2 linked regions of the Drosophila melanogaster genome follow. Changing the gene in region 1 together with any one later gene gives a genetic interaction. Each region holds a gene or a part of one and is shown on either strand. Other genes may lie near its edges. The genes, in order: mus304 and nbs.

Region 1 (5,660 bases):
GGCATTTAGAATAGGAATAACTTAAGCTTAGGCGCAGCCTATTTACTATATTACATATCTACCATGGGGAAGTGGGTGCTACGTGCCCGGTACTGGATTCGTTCGCTTGGATGCCGCATCCTGCTGCTGGAAAAGGTGCACCCAATCTGGAGTGGCCTTTAGTTTGGCTTGAATGGGTCCCAAGTTGATCATGTTTCCACTACGTTGCTCGCGATTGGCGGTTACAGACATGAGTTCCTGCAGAAAACCCGGATCGAGACCCATATCCAAGTCAAAGCGTGTGTCCCCCAATTGGAGTTTAACGCGACCGGATTTGTACCTCAGAATCTTGCCGATCTGCCCTTCTTCCAGCTGCCGTAGTACACTGCCCTTGGGTCCGTTTGAGCATTTGTCTGCAGGACTTGCTGGTTCCGATTCACTGGTGGCCTGATGATCTCCTTTAGACGGTTCCGGATCTTCGGAATCGTCGCCCACACATGGCAACACATCTGGCAGTTGCATGAGAAAGATCTGCGCTTCGCTGGAGTCCAGAAAGTTACCAATGGTGCGTGGGTAGCGACCGTACTGCAGCGGAGGTTCCTCTAAACTGGCTGCCTGGGCAGCCACATGCAGCTGTTGCAAATGCTGGGCCACTGCCAAAGTGTCTAGGAGCGAAATCAAATTAGATTATGCCATTTTTAAAGCTTAGCGCCTTACCCTTAAGTGTTGAGGTTGAACTGGCGATTTCTTGCTTCGCAATCGGTGTCTTCTGGGTGACCCAGAGTCCTAACGTTTATAAACAAATAAAGCATGAATTTCTTCTGCCCGTGTGCATCAAAAAGTGCTTGTAAAACGTACCCTCTTTTAGCAGGATGGGCCTGAGTGCCATCTCAGTCTTGTTAGCCTCCTCTTCGCTGAGCTCGCCGCCACTGGCGTCCGACTCGCCCAAGAGCTCCTTGATCCGCTCGGCCTGGCTCTTGTCGTCCTTGCGATCCACCCGTTTCCTGGTCACGGACACCTCCTCACCGCCCCGTGCATATGCCGTTCCATTTCCTGTGGACCTTCGCACATGAACATCGCCTGCTCCTTCGGAGAAGAGTCCCTGGGTTTGGATGAGCGTGGAGTTGCCCCCGCCAGCGGAATTTCCACCTCGACCACGTGTTGCTCCAGTGCCGTTGCCACGTCCACCTCTGCGGCCGCTCCTTGGCTGCGTGGTGTCCTTGGATGTCTTGACATTGCTGTGAATCAAATGAGATGATGAAAAGAATGACTCCCCCTGGGCCATTCCACAACTCACGCATTTTTATTGCGCACAGCATTCAAATTGGGAGCAAAGACCTTTTTGCTGGCTGTCCCAGCGCCGCGCCCACCAAGGGTCAAGTCGCGGGCGGGGGTCAGCCTGGTCATTCCGTTTAGCGTCTCCAGTGGGCGTGCACCGCCACCAGACTGACCATTATTCGTGGTGGACCCACTGGCTCCACTGATGGTCGAAGCTGCTGCTGTGGTGACCGTCATCCTCTTCGCTGGCATGGCGTTCCATTCGCGCCGCCCGTCACCTCGAAAATTCGACCGAAGTCGCTGGGTTCTGGTTTCCCCGTAAGTCCTTTAGTTTTGGGCTAGAATTTCCGCAGAATTCTTTGATTTTCCTTTGAGGTTAATGGGAAAGCTGAGTCGATACACCACATGCCGATACACCGCAGTCGATAGACTTGAGTGTAGCCAGATGACTTTGGTTTTGCTCAATATTAATCGGATTTTGAAACTGTGATTGTAGCGGGTTTCTATCGGCGCTTAAAAAAAACCAGCATAATAACAAAGAGCGATATTACAAAACTGGCTTTTTGTTGCAGTAAATCCTAATGTAGTATTTTTCTATGCAACATGGATTCGAAACATAATCTCTATTTTGGTTGGGCAAATCCATCGTTGCGATCAAATCCATCTGGCAACGCTAGTTGAGCTCTACATTTTATAAACAAAGCAAACCGGCAAAATAATCTACGACTTTCCATGGCCAAAAAGTAACGAAATATAGCGGAAACTGGAGGAACCATGGCCAAGCGCTTTTCTGCCATGAAAGACTTCGCGCGGTGCAAGAAACCGCGCCTGGATGTTAGCGTTACCCGCGGATCAGCGCGACCCAGTCCACCGAGGAACAATTTCGATGGGATTCTCTGGGACGACGATGACGATGTCATCCTGATGGCCACCCAGCTGGCGGAGGCGGAAATCGAGGCGGAGGAGCGGAAAAAGAAGGGCGGAACAGAGGTGGACATCGGCAACAGCGAGGTCACCTTCAGCGAATTTGCACCCACTTTTCAGGGCTCAACCAGCACACAGCAAATGTTTCCGCCGCCACCGCCGCCACAAAAGAAGCCTACTTCCCTGGATATGGATGCGATTTTCGCGGATGATGATGATTTCGATTTTCTGGCCGTTACCCTCATGGACAGTGAGCCACAAAAGATGCCGGAGCCGAAGACCAGCACAAGTAGGATAACTACCAGCAGCATAAGTGTTCAGCAGAAAACCACGACCACGACGACCATCAATGCCACGCAATCCCGCCAGCAGGAGCATCAGCTAAAGTTTCTCATGGATAGGATTGAAGCCCTTAAGCGGGAAAACGCGCAGCTGGAAAAGAATTTGGGCGACAGTAAGGAACGCAATGAGATCAAGTCTGGTGAGGTAGGTGGACATCGGGGTGGAACTATAACACCGATTCTAGACCTTACAGAAACTAATCCATTTATATTTATTTCTCTAGGTTTCCTTACTTCGTGATGAGCTGAAGCACTTGCGCCAGCAGCTGCAGGCTAGCAAAATGGAAAAGCTGGCTTTGGCCGACGAAACGAATCGGGATTGCAACAAAAAAGTGGCAGAAGCGGCCAAACAAATTGCGGCCAAGGACATCGAGTTGAAGATTAAGAACGCCGAGTTCTCAAAGTTGAAGACACAGCAAAAAGCCCATGAAAGAAGCATGAATTCCAGCATGAGCATTTTACAGGCTGCTCCAGATCCTTTGGAGAAACGCTTATCACTTCGCTTGAATAGGCTTAACATACACAGATCTGTGCCCGGGCTGAAAACCGATAATGGCAGTGTGTTCGAATACAGCGAAAATGAGGATCAGACTAAGAAACGAAGAAATCATTTTGAACTGGAATTAAAGCAACTGCTACTTCATTACGCTCGGCTGCAGGCAAAGCCGGAATCTGTGGATAACCTCCTGCCAAGAATACTCTCGTCGGTCGGCAAGGTATTCACGGAGTTTGCTTCGTATGCTCAAAGTTTGGACTTTCCACACAACTGCATGCTGTATCCCTACAATCCCCACAACCTAGAGGAGGAAGTTCATCGCATTTCCCTGACCCATCAGAGCTGTTTGTATGATAACGAAAAGGCTGTTCCGCTGCGTCGCTTCATAGCTACCTTGGCTTTGATTTGCCGGCGAGAGGAAAGGATTTCTAGAGGTCTCACGGAGTGGAAAGAAAATGATCTGGGACTGCTAGATATGGCTATTGAAGCTATCACAAAACTAGGATTTTCCTACGAGGTCGGCCAACACTTTGGATTGCTGGAAGCCTTGACTTCACTCCTAAATAGCCTCCTACAAGAAAATGCCCTTCTTCAACATAACGAGGAGCTACTCTTCGATCTGCTTAAGCAGTTAGTTTTTACTCGTCCCAGTCCTTGGGTTTTTGCTGAGCTTAGCTCCTGCTTTTTAAGCTGCCTTAGACATCCCCAACTTATGGATAAAATGTGTGTGAATAGTCCCAAGGACTGCTTTGTATCGGATCGCGTTCGCTCCGTTTATCGATTTGGTCCCGACTCCTGTTTACTTCAGGTCTACGCGGGCCTACTCGAGCTATGCTTCTTTAGTGAAACTCCTCTGCGGCAGGACTACTTTCAGTTGCTGCTCAAGATCGGAGGAAATCATGTGCGATTCGCGTTCGAGTGCTTCAAAAACCCACCGGATTTCATACTTGAAATGCTGCCTTACTTTGCCGACGATGGCGACGAGGACTCCAGCGATGGTACTCTGATGAAAACAGGCACCAGTCTGAGCTTCAACTCCACAGGAGCTGTGCAGGGATCGGTCTCCAATGGATCGACATCAGCGTCTGTTTCGAACCCGAATCAAAATTCAAATTCAAGTACAACGCAGCGAGGAAAAGGCTGCGAGTGCTATGTAAAGTTGTGCCTCAGTGCGGTAACAATTGTCTTCCAGGTGATGCACCAATGGATGTTGCACAGCAGGAAAGCAGGTGCGTTTGAGCTAAAAAAAAATCATTTTCATATGATCAATGACACGAATCAATATTTGTGCTTTCTATTTAGGCACCGAAGAAGTTGGCGAGATCTCCCGCATCGCAGTGCACCTTCTGTCCCTTGTCTTTCACGAGTATTACCTCACCTGTCTGTTTCGCGACTCCGAGGAGACGACCAAGCATTACCTTAGCCTCATATGCAACTGGTGGAGCGAGCATGCGAACCTGCTTGGTTTTCAGTCAATACATTGTAAATGACCTAACAACATTCCATATTTTCCGTTGCTAACTTTTTAAATATTTTCCTGTCATTTAGTGCGTTTGTTAAACCAACTGGTTAAAGCCCATTTCATGCTGAAACCCCTTCATCTGGAGGCCAAGCCCAATAATCCAGTCAACGACCTCTCCGAATGGAAACGCATTGTCAAGAATGCGGATGACCAAAGGGCTGTGAAGTCGGCTGTGACAGTTGATCCCAGCAAATTACTCAACACCGACTTCTTTAGTGCCCTTAAACGGGAGGAGAACACTTTTGAGTAGTTATAGTTAGCTTAAACGTTTTAGTAATATATACATATAGGTGTGGCGTTAATTTATTGTGAAGTTTCAAATGCTATGTTAAGAATTGAAAAGGCTCGCTGCACAAATTTAGAGCTTAAAAAACGCATTCCAAAATACAAATATGTAATGCAGCGTTTAAAGAAACCGCTAAATAATCGATTTTTCATTTCGATATCAATTTACGAATCGATAATACAAAATATTTGTTGGTGGTTCAGCTTATCGTTTCGAAGGAACTTGATAAAACAGCTGATATGGCTCAATTTAACCAGTTCAGTTTGCATGGAACTAGTTTGTAAGCGCGATGCTTTTCTTAATTTTGTAAATATTTAGATGTTTTTCAGCATTTACATTTTAAACCCGTGCTTATTGTGTATAAAATAATGTATTCTGATTAAAAGTTCAACGTGCACTTATGGTGCTTACTGCAATAAGCGTGATTCAATGCAAATGCTTATATTTGTTGATTTAATAAACATTCGCAAAGGTGGGTTCAAATAAACAAATACTTCCTTCTCACAATAATAAGAAAGTATCATTGTAATATGATCATAGAACAAAACATCTAAGAACTTTTGTTTTTTTCGTTTCACATGCATATATTTTTAACATGCATTTCTGTATACATATATATATATGTATATATGTATATATGTATATAAATATATATATGTATGTATGTAAGATGTATGATGTATGATATACGTATGTATTATGATCCTTCCCCAATGTAATCAGAAATCATTCCTTCATATGATTATACCTGTACTCGCATATACAGAATATTAAATACATCTCTTTTTACCAGTTAAACGATTATTAAACTAAACTCTTATTTATTTATTTAGC
Region 2 (5,494 bases), 8.4 Mb from region 1:
TTCGTTCCGTCTGCAAACTTAATGCGGCACTGTGCCGCCTGCTGCGCTTGGATTTGGCCAGGGATCTGAAAAACTTTCGCGGTGTGCTGCCGGATGTGTGCGATGAAGATTTGGGCGGAGCCATGCCCACGCGAAGCAGCTTTGAGTTTATTTTGGTGCGTCTCCTGGGTTTTTATCATCTGCACGAGCGGATCAGGGAATGCTGCCTCAGTGCAGCCGCATACTTCACTCAACTCCTGCGCAACAACTTCTTCATGGACTTCACCACGCTGCTAATCGCTGCCATTGCCAAGATTAGCAAACTGAGCTCCTTGCAGGCCGGCAAAAGTGCCATACTTTACAACAAACTGCGCCCCCAGATTGCTAACTTTCCGCAGGTGGAGAAGCACAAGTTTCTGGCGGAGAATCAAGAGCTTCCTGCCAGATTAGAACCTCCAACGAGAACTAATAACCAAACGCAGAAAGACGAAACACCAGACATTGTCCTGATACCGAAAAAAGTCGTCACCAAAGTAGAAAAAGCCAAACTGTTGGCCAAATCTGATGTGGGCACCATAATTGCCAGGAAGGAAACACCCGTTCAAGATACAAAGAAACCCACATTCAATGAAAACGTTCTGGCCACGGTGGCGGATGCACAGAAGTTCATTGAACGCGAGTCGCAGGCCAGGAAACTGAATCCTCCTCCAGAAAGTTGTTTTACCAGAAAGATAGCCAAGCACGAGTGGCTGGCCGCACAGACGATGTTCAATCGCAAGTTGTCCAAGGAGCCGGAAAAGGCGTTGAACATATTTCGCAAGTTTATTGTTAGCAAAATAAAGTAACTTCACAAGCGACGGTTAATTACGTTTAGGCACGACATTAAACACAGGTTACCATACCATCAGCCAGCCGAAGACTCTTAAGCGCAACAATTCGCTTTTGGGGATGAGGATTTTTGGTCTAACAGAGGTACACAAATAAATAAGTCGTTTTAATATTTGTTATTAATTCGAGACTCACCTTTACAAACTTCTTAAAGTTCTTGCGGCCGCCATGCTTGTTCACAGAATCCTCAAGAGAAGCATCCACTTCCTCCTGGGAGCGAATGACAATGTTTAAGTTGCACATGCGCACCTCAATGCTGTCTTTCATGGCGGCCAGCCATTGCTCCTCATCGGGATCCGCCTTAATAGAGGTTTCCATCTTAACTGAGTCTGCATCTATTTCGGATTTGATATTATCGTTTAGCCTGCTACACGATAACCAACCACTGATGTCCACTTTCTTGGGTCTATCTCTACGCGGTGCCACTATGTACTTGGATTGCTTCTTGCTTTCCGTTTCGGGTACAAATGGTTCGGTTAACCGGGAATCCTCGTCATCATGATCAGACGGTCTTTCAGAGTTGAAGTTAAACAAGCCATCCGTGGAGTCATCATTTCTCTGAGCCTCTTGCGTCTTTCGTTTCTTTTTGCTGTCTGCAAAGTTAAAAAGATTATCACAATCATCGCTGTCGCTTTCGTTTAGCAGCTCAAGGCGTAAACGCTTGCGCGGTTGTGTCTGGGATTGGGACTCCAATTGGGGTGGCACTGGAGCTGGTTCTTGTGCCTGTGATTTCTCTAGAAAGTCGACTACACTGATTCTGGCAGGTGCATTGCCTTTGCCTGCGATTCTTGGCTGAACCACAGTCTCTGCTGGCTTCTGTGGAGATTTACGGAATTGAAATAGGTCCCCTTCATCTTCTTCGTCACTCGAGGCCACCGATAAAACAGGACGTTTTGCAGGCACTGCATGTTTGTCAGCCGGTTGGTTGGTAATATTTGTGGCCAATGATTTCCCATTGAGTCGTGGTGAAATCCTGGTGGCAACGGGTGCTTCCGTTTTCTTCTTGGCCATCGAAGGGATAGTTGGAGCTGGCGTTTCTTTTGGTTTCCGAGCATTTTCGTTCTCCTCATCCGATGAGTCAACACAAAAAACCTGTTTGGTCTTCCGTGTTATGTGCTTACTCGCAGCTGGAACAGGTGGATGTACGGATTTCTCCTCAGCGATGGCTTTGCTCTGCCTTGTTACTCGTTGAACTGGAGCAGGCGCCGGAGCTGGTGTCACATCTTCTTCCAAAGACGAGTCCAACAATATGGCATTCTTTGATTTCATGGTCAGTTTCGTAGCGATATCCGATTTAGCTCGCTTAGACAATGTTGATTTCTTCTCCTCGTCCGAGGAGTCAACTGTTGAGGCATGACTCCGCTTACGCAAAGAAGCTTGGTCCTCCGAATGGGGCTTAGAAGCATCTTGTTCCATTTCACATTCAATTGACTCAGGCACCACCAGTTCGGAAATGGGCGTGGCATTGGATTGCGCCGAGTGGCGTTCCGTGTTGGGCACAATGATCGAAGAGTTAAAGGCCATCGAGGAAGTTACAGACTCCGTGGTGGGCAATGAATCGGAGATGAACTTGTGCGTTGGGTTGCAGAATTCTGTTATAGAGCAATGTATTAGGGCCATGCCAATCTCGTACTCCTGGATAATACGTCGACCATTCTGTTCCAAAATATCTAAAAATTATAATACATAATAATACTTAAACGCTGTGATGTGAGCAATATATTTACACCTATCTTGTATACTATTGATTGATTCAGTGGCCTGCGACTGGGACGATGGCACATACTGTATGACTATCACATCACTCTTTGTTAGGAATGTTTTGCGCACACCCGAATTGATGTCCTTGCACGTGGCTCCAGCCTTCTGCACAACTGATCCGTACATATCAAAGTGTTTGCGGTTCATGAAGACGAATGTCTTGCCGGCGAAGAGACGGGTACGCTCAGGACGCCAGGTGACATCTATGTTGGTGGGCTGGTAATCCTCCGGCTGAGGCCAGCCCTCCTTGACATGGATGCTCTGCGCTGCCTGCAGCATCTTTCGCCAGTAGGGGAATGTCACAATCGGCTTATTCTCGAGCATAGCGTGCAGTAGTTTCACGGTCACCGAAACTTCGTTCATGGTTAGATGGGAGCACTCTTCGGTCCAGTTCGAAGTGACCGTGCCGCCCATGGGTTCAAGCATCTTCGTGAGCTCCTGGACCTCGGAACGCGTTAATGCGGAGACAGTTGTAACCAACTTCAGTTGGGTCACCTGCCAAATGCTCATGTTTGCGCCAAATCGCAAGCGTGTGCCCACAGGCAATGGAGTCGATGTTTTGGCAGGCACCTTGCGCGGCTTTTGGGAATTCTTGGGGAAAATGAAAGTGCCATATCTGGAGCCAAGGTCCTCGATATGCAGGGTGTCATCGCCATCCGCTTCCGTTTGGATGAGCAGCTGGGCATGATTGCGACTTATACTGAGGTCCTGCGCAACAATTAAATCCGTGGCCAGGCGACCAATGGTGTACACCTTTTTGCCAGGAAACAACACAAACTTTTCGTCATCTATAAAGAGTATTTAAAAAATGAATAAACTAATAATCTCTGTGTTTTAGACCATTTTTACGTGCCTTTAGTCAAAACAAACATAATTTCAAAACATTAACAAATTCAACAAATAGCGAGCAGTGTGACCTTAGCAGATTTGCAAATTATCTACACAGAGACAAAGAAGGAGTGAGAATAATAGGCTACATCACTTTCTACATAATTTTCTAAGTTAATAGTTGTTTCTTAAATTGATTTTTTTCTTATTTTAGAAATCAGGATAATTTTATTATCGATCGACAAACGCTTATAAAGAATTGACAATATAGACTTTGGATTCAAACGTTTTTTTTACTGTTAAGTGACCAGCTATCGCTGCAATGATACCGGAGTTTCCTACGAACGACAAATTAGCAAGAAGAAGCATTTGCAGCCGGTTTGTTTTTGTGTCGTTTGGCTAATGAAAACCTCAATAAACACGATTTATCTGCGATAAATGTGAGTGAGGAAACCTGTAACCATGTCTCACCTGACCGGCACCCGCGTGAGCACCTTCAACGAGAGCTTCCTTAACGAAAATGAGCACGACTCGAATGCGGTGCTCATGGAACTGGACAAGGGACTGCGGAGCACCAAGCAGGGAATCCAGTGCGAGGCGGTCGTCCGCTTTCCGCGCCTCTTCGAGAAGTATCCGTTTCCCATTCTCATCAACTCGTCGTTCATTAAGCTGGCCGATTACTTTGTCAGCGGATCGAATCTGCTGCGCTTCTGGGTGCTCCGTGTTTGCCAGCAGAGCGAGAATCATCTGGACAAGATCCTCAACATTGACAGCTTTGTGCGCTGTATCTTTGTGGTGATGCACTCCAACGATCCGGTGGCGCGTGCTCTCCTCCTGCGCACCTTGGGCGCCGTTTCCCGTGTGATTCCCGAGAAGCAACAGGTTCATCATGCCATTCGACGTGCTCTGGATAGCCACGATACCGTCGAGGTGGAGGCTGCCATCTATGCCAGCAGCTGCTTTGCCGCCCAGTCAAGTTCCTTTGCCATCAGCATGTGCGCCAAGATTTCGGACATGATCGAATCGCTTCAGGTGCCGGTGCCAATGAAGCTGCTCCTGATTCCCGTGTTGCGACACATGCATCACGAGGCTACCACAGCGTCACTGGTTAGCAGACTGTGCATGGATCTGCTGCCCAAATATCCAGCCCAGAGCTTTGTGGTGGCCATCATAGACACGCTCACTCAATTGTCATCACGAACGCTGGTGGGAGTGCCCGGTCAGCTGGATGTTCTGCTGGATTTCATGCAGGACTTAAGGACACCAGTACGCATACAGGTGCTGCGATCTTTCAACGAGTTGGCCGGACGTCAGAGCGTTCATGCCTGGCCCAAGCCAGCCATCAAAGCGCTCATTGATCGTTTTGAATTGTGTACCAATTCCAAGGAGCAGTTCCTCTTCCTCTCAATCCTGCTGAAGTTAAGCGAGTGCCCGCTTACTTGCCAGCAGCTGCTTCGCGAGCATCGCGTAGCCCTGCTCCGTTTGTGCATCCAGTGCATTAGCAAGCTGGACGACTACACCACCGCCACTCAGGCCATGGCAGTTTTGTCGGTTCTAGTAGCATTTGGTTTAAAAAAAAAGGGCAGCGGCGAGCAGGTGGACGATATTCTTCATATGGTCAACCTGCACATGGAAGGATTGCTCCTTTGCACGGCCAAGCGGTCGGAGTGCACCCGCGATCTCCGTAGGGTGCTGACATACGGTATAAGGATCACTAAAGCCAACGCTGAATTTGGAACATCCTTCATTGGGATCGTGACCAATAGCCTGGGAGATAAGGGTGCCTATCCGCCAGCCAATGCGGAACTTATGTGCGAGGCACTGGCGGGTCTGTGTGAGCACTTTCAGCTGCGTAAGTACGCCTTTTCCACCGCAGAAGATTTGATAGTAGACGAAAACGCGATGGACACCGATGAGTTGCCCCCGCCCAAGGTATCTAATGCATTAATACATCTATGAAACAATTTCTAATTTCTAATTTAACCACAGATAAATCCCATGCTAGCTCGTTTGCCGCTCATTCTGCACAAGCTGAACA

Evidence for each region.
Region 2: of mus304 (region 1) and nbs, changing one enhances a phenotype caused by changing the other (phenotypic enhancement), as found in Drosophila melanogaster (one study listed by BioGRID).

What each region holds. Positions count from the first base shown.
Region 1 is NT_037436.4:18,107,884-18,113,543, forward strand, and holds mus304 (mutagen-sensitive 304), read left to right. Parts: upstream 1-1,930; 5' UTR 1,931-2,031; coding exon 2,032-2,667; intron 2,668-2,746; coding exon 2,747-4,247; intron 4,248-4,320; coding exon 4,321-4,500; intron 4,501-4,566; coding exon 4,567-4,790; 3' UTR 4,791-4,964; downstream 4,965-5,660. Other genes in the region: Polr3D (RNA polymerase III subunit D), read right to left, coding at 79-644, 697-765, 838-1,217, 1,277-1,509. UniProt on the Drosophila melanogaster protein: DNA damage checkpoint protein required for chromosome break repair and for genomic stability during development.
Region 2 is NT_037436.4:9,719,624-9,725,117, forward strand, and holds nbs (nbs), read right to left. Parts: upstream 3,572-5,494; 5' UTR 3,501-3,571; coding exon 3,482-3,500; intron 3,417-3,481; coding exon 2,595-3,416; intron 2,538-2,594; coding exon 1,003-2,537; intron 943-1,002; coding exon 862-942; 3' UTR 825-861; downstream 1-824. Other genes in the region: CG14174 (uncharacterized protein), read left to right, coding at 1-824; defl (deflated), read left to right, coding at 3,919-5,388, 5,446-5,494.